2 linked regions of the Cricetulus griseus genome follow. The protein of the gene in region 2 interacts with the protein of the main gene of each other region in a pairwise test. Links are inferred from orthologs where the notes say so. Each region holds a gene or a part of one and is shown on either strand. Other genes may lie near its edges.

Evidence for each region. The genes of interacting proteins can lie anywhere in the genome.
Region 1: the proteins of Ppp1r12a (region 2) and Atxn10 interact in binary tests that used the Homo sapiens proteins (3 or more experiments, as listed by UniProt). The link is inferred for Cricetulus griseus from reciprocal best matches to the Homo sapiens genes PPP1R12A and ATXN10.

The regions. Positions count from the first base shown.
Region 1 is NC_048595.1:382,150,830-382,157,055, reverse strand, and holds the start of Atxn10 (ataxin-10), read right to left. Parts: upstream 4,130-6,226; 5' UTR 3,988-4,129; coding exon 3,872-3,987; intron 1-3,871. UniProt on the Homo sapiens protein: May play a role in the regulation of cytokinesis. May play a role in signaling by stimulating protein glycosylation. Induces neuritogenesis by activating the Ras-MAP kinase pathway and is necessary for the survival of cerebellar neurons.
Region 2 is NW_023276806.1:147,070,781-147,076,849, reverse strand, and holds the start of Ppp1r12a (protein phosphatase 1 regulatory subunit 12A), read left to right. Parts: upstream 1-2,691; 5' UTR 2,692-2,919; coding exon 2,920-3,156; intron 3,157-6,069. UniProt on the Homo sapiens protein: Key regulator of protein phosphatase 1C (PPP1C). Mediates binding to myosin. As part of the PPP1C complex, involved in dephosphorylation of PLK1. Capable of inhibiting HIF1AN-dependent suppression of HIF1A activity.

The DNA of each region.
Region 1 (6,226 bases), on a different chromosome or scaffold from region 2:
TCTGCCTCCAAGTGCTGAGACTAAAGTTATGCGCCACCACTGCCAAGCCATTATTCTGTCTTTTGATCTAGTATTTAAGTCTATATGGATAAAGTATTTCACTTAAATAGGATGTTATTATATCTTAAATTTAAAAGAAAAAAGATTGCTTAGTAACAGAGGTAGGGGGCACCTATGGGTTAATGAGGGATATGAATGACAAAGTACAATGACATTGTATATGAAAACATAATAAACCCCATTATTTTGTACTACTAAAAGAGACTGATTTTTTTAAGTCTGTCTAGATCACAAGGATACTAATTTCTTCTAGATACTTCAGATATTTAGATCTACATTCCATGTTGAAATATTTTTCTGGATGGTTTGAGATATAGGTCAAGGTTCATTTTATTCCAAGTAATAGACAAATTGTTAACAATGTGCTTTAAGTTGATTTTGGTTTTAAATTTATAAATACTTTATAAACTCTAGCTAGAAATTAATTTTTTCACACAAAATATTCAGCATTCAATAAAAAGAGCCAAATGATCAAACACACACACACACACACACACACACACACACACACACACACACTCGATAAAAAGTTATCAGGCCCAATCTTTATAATCAATATACATAATTAAATGAGAACATCAGTTTCAACAAAGTATAGAAATATAAAAACAGATATATTCAAATACATAACACAATGATAGCAAGTTTGATGAAGAAAAGATGAACAAACTAGAAGGCAAGTTAAAAGAGAAACTTTAAGCAGAAATTTGAAGAGAAAAATAAGTTAAGAACTGGAAAGATCCTCTTGGAACATATGGAGTCTGGGCTAAAAAAACACGAGGTTTACCCAAAAGACACACCAAAAACAGTGAAGAGCACCTGCTGCTCCTGCAGAGGACCTGAATCCGTTCCTAGCACCAACATTATGTGGCTCACTCCCCTATCCCCTAGCCCATTAACTCCACTTCCAGGAGACCCACAGGCCCTGCATACATGCACATACATATAGACAGAAAAAAAAACAAAAACAAAACACTCTCTTTTTTTTCTCTCTCTCTCTTCCATTTTTAAAATGAGGGTATGGAGAGACAGCTCAGCAGTTAAGAGCACTAGCTGACTTTCCAAAATTCAATTCCCAGTACTCACAAGAAGGCTCACAACTGTCTATAATAAGATCTGATGCCTTCTTCCAGTGTACAGACATACATGCAGACAAAACACCCTAATACACAAATAAATAAATCTTAAAAAAAAAAAATTAGACCGGGCGTTGGTGGCGCAAGCCTTTAATCCCAACACTTGGGAGGCAGAGGCAGGTGAATCTCCGTGAGTTCAAGGACAGCCTGGTCTCCAGAGCGTGTGCCAGGATAGGCTCCAAAGCTACACAGAGAAACCCTGTCTCGAAAAACCAAAAAAAATTAAAAAATTAAAAAAAATAACAACAACAACAAAAAAAAAACAATTAGGTGACAACGCAGAACTAGAATCAAGAACTCTGCACCACCATATAACTGCATTCTCCAAGCACCAGTTCATCCTTTCCGAGCTCCAAACTGACTGAAACGGGGTCACTGCTCCACAAGAACCGAAACCAAACCTCAGAAGCATTCTCATCTTCACCCCACAGCAGCGAGCCAGTGGTCCCTGAATCCTACCCATTCAGTTTTACAGATTCCTCAACATCCATCCTCTCCTTCCCCACAATGCTCTAATCTGGGCACTTTTTCACTGGGATTTCTGCAACAGCTGCTGAAACACACCCTTCCTCCTTCATCCCTCTCTCTGCTCTAATGTCTCTCTGTTCTCTTTCCAATGGCAATCAGAAAGACTTTCCTCACAAACACATTTTATCAAACCACTTTTTTTAATGAAGCCATCAGTAGTTTCCCATAATTCCTCTCACAAAAGACCAAATCAAGAAGTCTATGGGCCTTAATCTTCTCAACAAGCTTACGTAAAGGAAGTCAATGTTCAACTGTCTCCTCTGTCCAAGACATATTGTCTGGTTGTTTCTCTGCAACTCTACAAAATCAATATAAGACCCTTTCACAGACACTGCCTTTTCTAGCTAGCCCTTGAATCTCTAGTAATTTTACATGTATGGGTGTTTTGCCTGTGTGTATGTCTATGTATACCATGTGTGTATCTGATAACCATAGAAGCCAGAAGGGGACATCAAATCCCTTTGCACTAGAGTTACAGATGGTCATGAGCTTCTATGTGGATTGTAGGAATCAAACCCTGGTCCTCTGGAGAAGCAACAATTGCTCTTAACCACTGAACCATCTTCCAGGCCCTCTCCAATTATCTGTCTTTCCTGGGCTGGAAGGAAGGACCTTTACTGTGTGGATATCTACTACATTATCTTTACACAGCAATCCCCTGACATGTCTGATGAAAGGAATTATGTCACATTTGTTTTTGTAACTTCAGCCCCCTGCAAAGACTTGTTTTATAGTGCTCAATATACGGTTAATGAATAAGGTATAGGTCCTGCACGGTATAAACACACCCAAGCAGCAGATCAACCAACATTATTTCCCAGAAGTATCACACTGATCAGCGTCCTACCCACAAACCCAAGCAGCAGTACCTTGGGGCCTTCAATACCCTTTTAGATGCACACCCTTCTACTGCGACTGCAGATGGGAAAGTACTCAACTCAGCATTTTTTCTTGTTGTTGCTGTAGTTGGTTTGTGTATCTGTTTTGGGGATAGGGAGACTGTCACAATGTTGACCAGTCTGGCACTGAACTCAGAGATCCACTTGTCTCTGCCTCCTGAATGCTGGGATTGAAGACCTGTGCCACTATGCCTGATTCAGTTATCTGTCTGATTGTTTGTCTGTCCGTCTATCTGGCTGGTTTGGTTTGGTTTGGTTTTTCAGTACAGGGTTTATTTATTTATTCATTTATTTTGGTTTTTCAACACAGGGTTTCTCTGTGTAGCCTTGGCTGTCCTGGAACTCATTCTAGAAACCAAGCCAGGCTCAAACTCACAGAGATCCTCCCGCCTCTGCCTCCCAAGTACTGTGATTAAAGCGATTATCTGTTTTTTACAAAGGAAAAGTTCTACCCAAGCCTACGTGCTCTTTTCCACTCTGATCTCTGCTCTCTATCCACACTGGGATTACATGTTATCTCCCCACAAGAGAGAACAAGGGTTCTGAATCCTCTCACTCCAATAACTAAGCACAGTACTTGGTGCAGGGGAGACCATTACTGTTGAGAAAAAAATACTAATGCCTGTTTAGTGCTAGGTGTCAGGAATGGCCCAAGGCTGTGACATGCATAATCTCATTAAATTCTCACTACCATCCCACTAAGGGGGTACCCTCCAACATCCCTTCCATTAAACAGAAAGGGAAACTGCAGCACCAACAATACTATAAAATCCAACAGGAACTGACAGCCTCCCATACTTCTGTTTCCAAGTCTTATTTCGTCGCAGCATTGGAAACACGCACCCTATGTCCCATTTTTAAGGCTAGAAACAGAAAGGTCGGAGGCAACGCTGAGCAGATGTCAAGAAGCCAGTCCGGATCTGCAGGCTCCCGGGCATCTCCCTTTAACCCAGTGGTGGGAAGCAAGCCTGAACACGCCTCCCCGGCCATCGCCCGCCCTCAGGGCCTCGCCTGAGGAGCCAAACCAACAGCTTCCTCACAGCCAACTTGGGGACCAGCGTTGCCACCGCCTGCCTCCTCGGGGCCTGGGCAAAGCCTCGTCCGGAGCAGGCCTAGGCGCGAGCCACAGAGCCACAACCTGAGCGTGGGCCAAGCCTGTCTCGCCCGCCGCCCCGCCTCGCCCGCCGCCCAGCCCAGAGCCCCTCCATGGATCTTCTTCCACCTAACCAGCAGCCCCTGCACAGTTACCGGTTACGGTACTCCTTGAAGAGCGCGGTGAGGGCGCGCAGGGCCTCCAAGTCCTGGATGGGTGCTGGCACCATAACGCCCGACAGCCGGGAGGGTGGCATCCTGGGCGCCGCCATCTTGCCACTCACTCTTAGCCGAACCTGACGAGGCGGAGAGAAGAGCGAGAGAAGAGGAGACAAGCGACAGGAGAGGAGACAGAGACGCGATCTGCACGGCTCCGGCTTCCGCAGCCCGTGTCACCCAGATCCCGCGCAGCTGCGAGGCAGAGAGCGCGAGACTAGCCGGCTCGCCTCAGGCTGAGAGGACAACGCAGCGCAGCAGGGGGAGGGGGCGAGGGCGGAAGTCCCGCCTGAGGGGAGGGGGCTCAGCGGAAGTCCTGCTCCTGTTTGGGAAAGGAGGGGGGTCTTCGGGTCCTCAGTGGGGCATCGGGGGCAAAGACGCCCCCAAAAGGACAGAATACTGACTGGGACGAAGGGGGCGGGGACGGGGTGTGCTAGAGACTGTCTTGTCAGGGACAGATGTTCACCCTGAGGAAGGGCTTCCATAGGTGGGGCATAAACTGTGCCCCCAGAATAATGGATGCCGTCCCCTGAGGGGTCCGGGGAAGGGGGTTCCTTCAGAAGGGAGGAAAGGGGATACTGGCCAGAGGTGTCCCCTTGGGAGGGGACCTGGAAAGAAGACTTCCCCTCAGGGGATTTGTTGCTGGACCACGTAGTCCCATTGCTAGAGAACCTGGAATAGACTCCCTCCAGAGAAGGGAGGCTAGATTGAAGTGCTCCATGGAGGGAGACCTGAAATGGAGGTTCCCCCATGGGGAAGGATGCTGGCTACCTAGAGCCTGTATACGACGACCTTGGACAGAGGTTTCCCTCACAGGGAGAAGACTCTGAACAGAAGTGTTCCCTTGGGAAAGAACCAGGAAGGAAGCTCTTCCCACAGGGGAGGATGCTGGGAAAAAGTGTCGCCATGAGTGGCGTTTTCATTTCATTTTCATTTGTGGCTGTGTTGCAGCCACAAAATACCTAACAAAAGCAACTTTTAAAAGGATAGGTTTATTTTAACTCACAGGTTGAGGGTACAGGCCAATATGGTAGGGACTCATGGCACAAGTGCCTGAGGCAGCTGGTCACATTGCATCCATAGCCAGAGGCAGACACCAATGGATGAATGCTGCTGCTCAACTGGCTTCCTCTTTTTTATACAGACCATGGAACTGTACCACCTACATTTGGGGCAGGTATCCACATAGTTAATCTATATACTCCTTCACAAACATGCCCAGAGGCTTGTTTTTTGATGGGGGGTGGTTTTTCGGGGTTTTTTGTTATTGTTGTTTGGGGGCTTGGGGGTTTGTTTTTTGTTTGTTTGGTTTTGGGGTTTTTGTTTTGTTTGTAATTCTAGAGTTTGTCAATCTGACCATTAATCTTTGCCATCACAACAGGAGACCTGGGGAGGAGGATCCCTCTAGGGGACCAGATGCTTGTCAGATATATCCCCACATTGGGGCTGACTTTTAGAGTATTTTCTAAGCCGGGCAGTGGTGGTGCGCACACCTTTAATCACAGCACTCGGGAGGCAGGGGCAGGCGGATCTCTGTGAGTTCAAGACCTGCCTGGTCTAGTTCCAGAACAGCCTCCAAAGCCACAGAGAAACCCTGTCTTGAAAAATCAAAAATAAATAAATAAATAAAAGTATTATCTAGTCGGGAGGTGGTGGCATTTGCCTTTAATCCCAGCACTATTTGATACAGAGATTGGACCTTGGCAGGTGAGTCCAGACCCACATCATGCGGACAAAACTTACATGGTAAGTTTATTGGGGGAAGAGAAGGGAGAGGGGGCAAAAACCTGCCTGTCTCTTCAGAGGAACAGCAGGAAAGAGAGTGGGAATAGGTGAAGTTTGTCTCTTAAATGGACCTTTTGCGCCTGTGTACAGAACCAGGGTACTGCTTGCCATGCACAGGAGTGACTGACCACTCTGTCAGGTCCTGGATGCTAACACACACACACACACACACACAAAGAGAGAGAGAGAGAGAGAGAGAGAGAGAGAGAGAGAGAGAGAGGCACACAAAACCAAACCATATCCCTGTAAGAGGCAACCTAGGACAGAAGGCCAAGAGATGCAAAGGAGGTCTCCTTAGGAAAAGATACTGCAGGGGCCTGAGGGGGAGGTCTCAGGCAAAAGGTCCCCCTAAAAAGGTAGAAAACCTGGATCCTCATATTTAAATGTTATAATCTGTGCTCCTCCCTGGGGTGCAGCAACCTGTCACCAGTCTCAGACCCTGAAAGCTGACTTCATTGTGCTTTCTTATCATCTACTGATAATACTTGTCACTTGTCAAGTAATTAGAAT
Region 2 (6,069 bases):
ATAATGGATATGAAAGAGGTTTCGAGTTGTGTGTTATGGTGGCATGTTACCATCTTTTCAGCACTATGCCTACATTCTGTATAACTGCCGGATAATCACTGGGTTTCCATGTTTGGGGGAACCAATGTAGTTGGGTCGTGGAAATAGTAGTTATTGCTTGTAGTATGCTAAGGTTAGGTCTCTGGGATAAAACCCGATGTAGCAGAACATCTGCCCTGAAGAGTTATAAGGAAGCTAACTATTATAGTGTAGTACAAGGAACCATTGGGCTGAGATGTGAGTATCACGACTTTGTACAGAGACAAAAGATTTTAGATGTCATGATCCATAACTAGAGATGAGTTTAAGTGTATACCAAAGCAAGTTCAGGGGGTTCGTTGTTAACTCTGGTCAACTCTTTGGTTGGGACTCAGTATTTTACGTTAGCTGACTGCAAACTTTTTTTAGGTTCTTAAACACATGTGCTTCCATCTTAACATTTCGTTTGCCCTGAAGGAATTGAAATCCTCACATTCTAACTTGCATACAGGTCATTAGGAAATGGAGATAGTTGTGTTTCTTCAACTTCTGTTTAGATCAATCATTCAGTAATTATAATAATATGAAATGGTTGCTTTCTGTATGTGCTAATAAAAAGTTATGTTAATTTTTGAGTTAACTATAGGCATACAGTACACACACATATACACACACACACACCCTAAGAAGACAGATCAGGTGGAAATTGGAAGAACTGCCTGACCTTAGAAGTTATGGAGGAAGGAAAGCTAAATTCCATGAAATTTGGACAAGTTAACAGCCCAAGGTTTGAGGTTTCTGTTTATTTTTTTAATTGGTAGCTTTGGGTAATAAAACATTAATTATGTTTTATTAATAAACTAATATTTAGTTTTTTGTATTATTGTTATATCCTGAAATAAGTGTTTGGATCAGAAATGACATACCTTCCAATAAATCCTTCTTGCCCAAGGGAAAACTTGAGATAGCAATGTATATTCCAAGAGCATTTTTTAAGAGCTAATAAATAGACCAGAATGTTCTCAGAAAACAAGGAAAAGTCGTTTTTCTCGGTAGAGAAGCTGACAAGGCTATCCTCAATTCCTTTCTTTTATTCTGAGGGCTGTGTTCTGTACAGAGGAGTTTTATATTTTCGTGTTAAGAAAATTCACTACCCAACACCATTATTATCATTGGTATGTGAACGGCCGATGCTAGATCCTTGGCACATTTTATGAAGATACAATAGTGTATTTCATGTGTGGCACACTCATTTTGTGTTTCAAAGGAAGTATTTTTATCCTATGTAAGATTCTATTAAAATTCCTAAAATTGAGGTTCAGAATATTCAGTTCTATAAGAAGGTAATTCCCTAAGCAGATTTTACTCAATTATTCTAATGTAGTCTACGAAAAGCAATATGATGAGAGTAAGAAAATAAGTTTTCACTGTAGTATCACCAGAAGGGGGGTAGGGCACAGAGATGGGCAGCCCCTGTAAGCCTGACTCAGAATTGAAACTGTTTTCTTTTCTGGGAGGAAATCTCAGTCTCAAGACTGTAGACTCTAGAGGAGCCCAAAACATTCAATGGTAGGGTTTTCTGACTTATTATAGACTTGAAGTGTGTGGGTGGGTGGGAGACAGTGTTTAGAAAAGGCAAAGTTAAAACCCCTTTATGATAATGTCTTTTACAGCACGTGAATTTACAAAATGGGTTCAAAGAAATTATATTTATTGTATTTTTAGTGCCTGGGAAGTCACGACTTACTAGACAGGTATTCGATAAGTATTGGTCGAATTAACGGCCTTTATCCACATGCCTTTTGAATTCTAGACGCAGCCCGGGTCTTTACTCCATAGAAAGCAATGGAGCTGGAACCATAAATCCCTTAAAAGGTCAGGACCAGTTAACAAGGCTGAGCTAACCTCCTGGGCAGTGCCACACACACAGGCTGAAAGCCATGAAGGAAGAGGAATCAAAACAGGCTTAAAGAGACAGAAAAAACAAAACAACAATAACAAGCGAGCCTAAGAGGAAAGACATTTCTGCTGTGGGTGTTAGCAGGAAGCGACCGCAATTACCGTAGGTCATCATACCCCTGTCAGTAGGCGATCACCTCGGTCACAGCCACCAGGGCCGTGGGGAAGGCTCACACCCCACTTTTTTCAAACGCTCTCGATCAAGACTGCGCAGCCCGGGTTCACCCGAGTTCCTTGGAAAGAGCACCGCCAAGCACCTAAGGCTCGACCTGTGTCCACTCCATTCAAATCACGCAGCCAATAGGAAAACCCTCCGCCCTGGGCAGACGCGTCGCGCGGCAGGGCGAGCCCCGGAGGCAGGTCAAGCCCGGTACCGCCCGCTTCTCCAGCCGGCCAAGCGGCCGGCGTTTCTCCAGAGCTCTCGGTCCCGCAGGACAACCTTTCCTTCCCGGCTTCCTCCCTCCCTTTCCAGGATCGTCCCAGCCCCCGCAGTCACAGCCACACCCGCTTCCCTCCGGTGGCGCCCCCGCCGCCACACTCGGGCGGCCGCGCTCTTCCTGGGCCGGGCCGGAGGGCGGGGAACGGAGGGGAGGGGACAGGAGGAGGAGGGAGGCGGAGCGCGCATGCGCACTGGCCGCGGGGCGCCTCCCCGGCCCGGATCTCGCGAAGTTACGCTCAGCCGGGCCGCGGCTGACGGACGGGCGGGCGGGCGGTCGTGCCGGGGGCGGGAGGGCGTCTGTGGGAGGAAGAGAGGTCCAGCTCTGCCGGGCTCGCCCCAGTGCTCTGTGGGATACTGGAAGTCTCGAGCGTCTCCTCCCCGGCTCGCAGCTCGGCTCCGGGCCGCTCTCGCAGCCACGGTCGCACACCCCCCGCGTCCCCTCGCCGCCGCCGCCGCCCCCTTCCCCCGCTCGCGATAAGAAGAGCCGGCGGCAGGAGAGGGGGATGAAGATGGCGGACGCGAAGCAGAAGCGGAACGAGCAGCTGAAGCGCTGGATCGGCTCGGAGACGGACCTCGAGCCTCCCGTGGTGAAGCGCCAGAAGACCAAGGTGAAGTTCGACGATGGCGCCGTCTTCCTGGCCGCCTGTTCCAGCGGCGACACGGACGAGGTCCTCAAGCTGCTGCACCGCGGCGCCGACATCAATTACGCCAATGTGGACGGACTCACCGCCCTGCACCAGGTCTGTGCGCCCGCCGCTCGCACTCCCACCCCCACCCCCGGGCCCACGCCGTTCTCGCGCCCCCGGGCCTCTCCCGGTCGCCGGTCCTGAGGCCCGGGGGTGGTGGCGGGAGACTCCCTGCTGCGGGTGAGGGGGCGGCTCCGTCCGGGGAGGCTGGCCGCGGGGCTCCGGGGCCCCTTCAGACCCCGCTCGCTGCCTCTGCAGTTGGGAGCCGGCTGGTTTCCTGGGCGCGGGGCAAGATGGGACTGTGGTCTTGTGGGGGGGAACCCCAAGGGCCATTTGTGGACCTGTGTCTGGTGCTCTGGGTCAAGACGAGCAGGAGTGTGTAATGGATTGTGCCGAGGCCCGGTGTCAGTAATACACTGTTGGGTGTGGGGGGGGGGGAGGATGTAGAAAACCACTAACAGGGTGACTTGGGCAAATGGACCCCCTTGGCCTGGAAGTGAACATTGGTTTTGGTGTACTTTTTTAGGAGTTGATTACAAATGATGATGATAATAATAGTAATCAAGAACCATAGCCCCGGTGCCCTGAGCGAACGATTTCCTGTTTTCTCCTTTATTACTCTTGGTCACTGGGGAGGGGAAAACGGGGTGTAATTAGCTAATCTGCAGAGGCTGAAAGAGAGGGGATGGTCGTGTATCGGGTAAGGGAGTCTTCCCAAGTGGGCTTGCCCACTTCTCCACTGAAATCTATGGATTCCTGTACTCGAAGAGTTTGTCGCAGTGTCACAGATCCCTGAGTCCTGGCTCCTGGAGTGTGCAGCGGAGCTAGAAAGAGAAGAATAAACACTGCACTCTTCAAAGTCAGTTGCCAAACTTTGTTGTTGTATTTTTCTTTTGGGGTGGGGGCAGAAAAAAAGAAAGCTAATCACAATCTTTTCTCAAAATGGATGCTCTGTGCACGTTAAAGTTTTATAGTAGTCCGATTGGGATCTCTCAGTGTTAGCCAAATAAGGAGAAACTATTGGCAATCCAGAGATAATGTTGCTTTGCCTTTAACAAGCCAAAAGCAACAAAACCCTTAAGAGTCCTGCTTGAAAAGCAAGTTTTAAGTGCTGGTAATAGGTGCCATGGCATAAATTCTTTTATTTTCATATTAAGCAACTTGGAATTACTAGGAAATTGACAATGAAAAAGACTTATCTGGCTATCTCAAAATCGTCCTGGTTGTGTGAAAAATCAGTTTTATTTTAAATAATACTGTGGTTAAAAACTCGTTTGGGTGGTTGAAAGTTAGGGCTTCACACTTTGTATCTGAACTTTACATTTTGTGGCTATTAACTTTGTACCTTTTAGAAAGGCATGGTATATTTTCCTTATATTGCTTCCTGCTTTAGTAAGCGATGACCATTTTAAGTTTTATTTAATCAAACTCGAATATCACACTTGGCGTTTAGCCTTTGTTTACAGAGCTGACTGGAAGGGTTGAAATGACTGACAATTTGCAGGACAGATCTGGAATTCAGAGTGGCACCCAGTGAAAAGTACAGCGTGGTATCTCTAATGTAGTGCATCTGCCTAAAGCTTAAAGCATAGTATAAGTCAAGATCACAAAGCATGATTTTGAGAAGCAACTTTGGCATTAAAAAAATGTAATTATATAAAATGGGGGGAAAAACACCCTGAAGTTTCCTTTCAAATGTCTGTGCAAGTTTAGTGTGAAATTGTTTCTGAAACACAGTTACTGTATGTCAGAATACTTGGATAATGGTTCATATCAGTGTGTTTTCTAACACTGCTAAGTAGAAATGTAAAGTTACCCTATAGACAATTTACTGGATTGAAGGAAGAGGGCCAATTCTCTCTCTTTTTTTTTAATATTGTAAAAGCTGTTTAGGCAGTAGAAAACACATGGAATTGTCTTTGAAAGACTGTTTCTCAGTTTTTACTTCTTTAAAGAGGCTAGACCCACTGATATCTTCTTGATTAACTGAATTCAGTGGTTTGGTGCGTGTACTTAATAGTCTTTATTATTGAGTGTTTCATTTGGGTTAACAGGCACATAAGGAGAAGTTTCTGAGTTTATGCCTTTTGCATAACTGATTGGGTGACTAGTCAAATATTTTAGTACTCAAAAGATCATAAAATAACTGAAATATTTGCCCAGCCTAATTTCTCTTTAGTCTATTTGAATATTCACTCAACTTTTTAGTTTGGATAAAATTACCCAAGTTTTTGTTAACAGGAGACAAGTTCTGGGTACTTCACAACCCACAACTACATTCAACACCTGCATTTTCCTTACATTTATAAGTGGTTTGTAGTTAAAGGTTTATTTATTGGTTGAATGAGCTCTCATTAAAAGCAATGAAAGAAACTCAGCTATTGCTCTTTATCCCGTTGATATAGAAATGCCATCCGAATAGAGAGAAAGCAAACTTCTGTCTGAGTCTCTAAATGGCCTTCCTCTTTCAGGAGTATGGTACTGTTGTTTGACTTTTTTTCTAACCCTGAAGTCTAGAGTACAGTTTCAGTCTTTCTAGCTGGCAATTATTCACCTGCAGAGTTTTATTTATAGTCTTCGTGAACATTTTCAAGATTTATTGGGTTATATATAAAATGCCCTTTGCTGGTCTTTACTGATATGCCTATAATGCAAGAGTAACAATTTCAAGTTTAGCTTTTTGATTTTAACTCAAAATCCTATTTTTTTCTCTGTGCCAATGGTTTCCAAATCAGTTCTCAGTTTCCATTCTTACATAGCACCCAACTTTCTCTTATAAAGTGAAATATAACTATATATTGTAATTTTAATTAAAAATATATATCATTAAGTAGTCACATATATTCTGATCTGTTTCTTTGCCATAGGTTGACAGCAACTTTGTTTTTACAAAACATTTCTTTAAGGGATTCTTACTGTTCAGAAAAAAAAAAATTGTGATTGAGTTATAATCTGTTTTTGTCACTT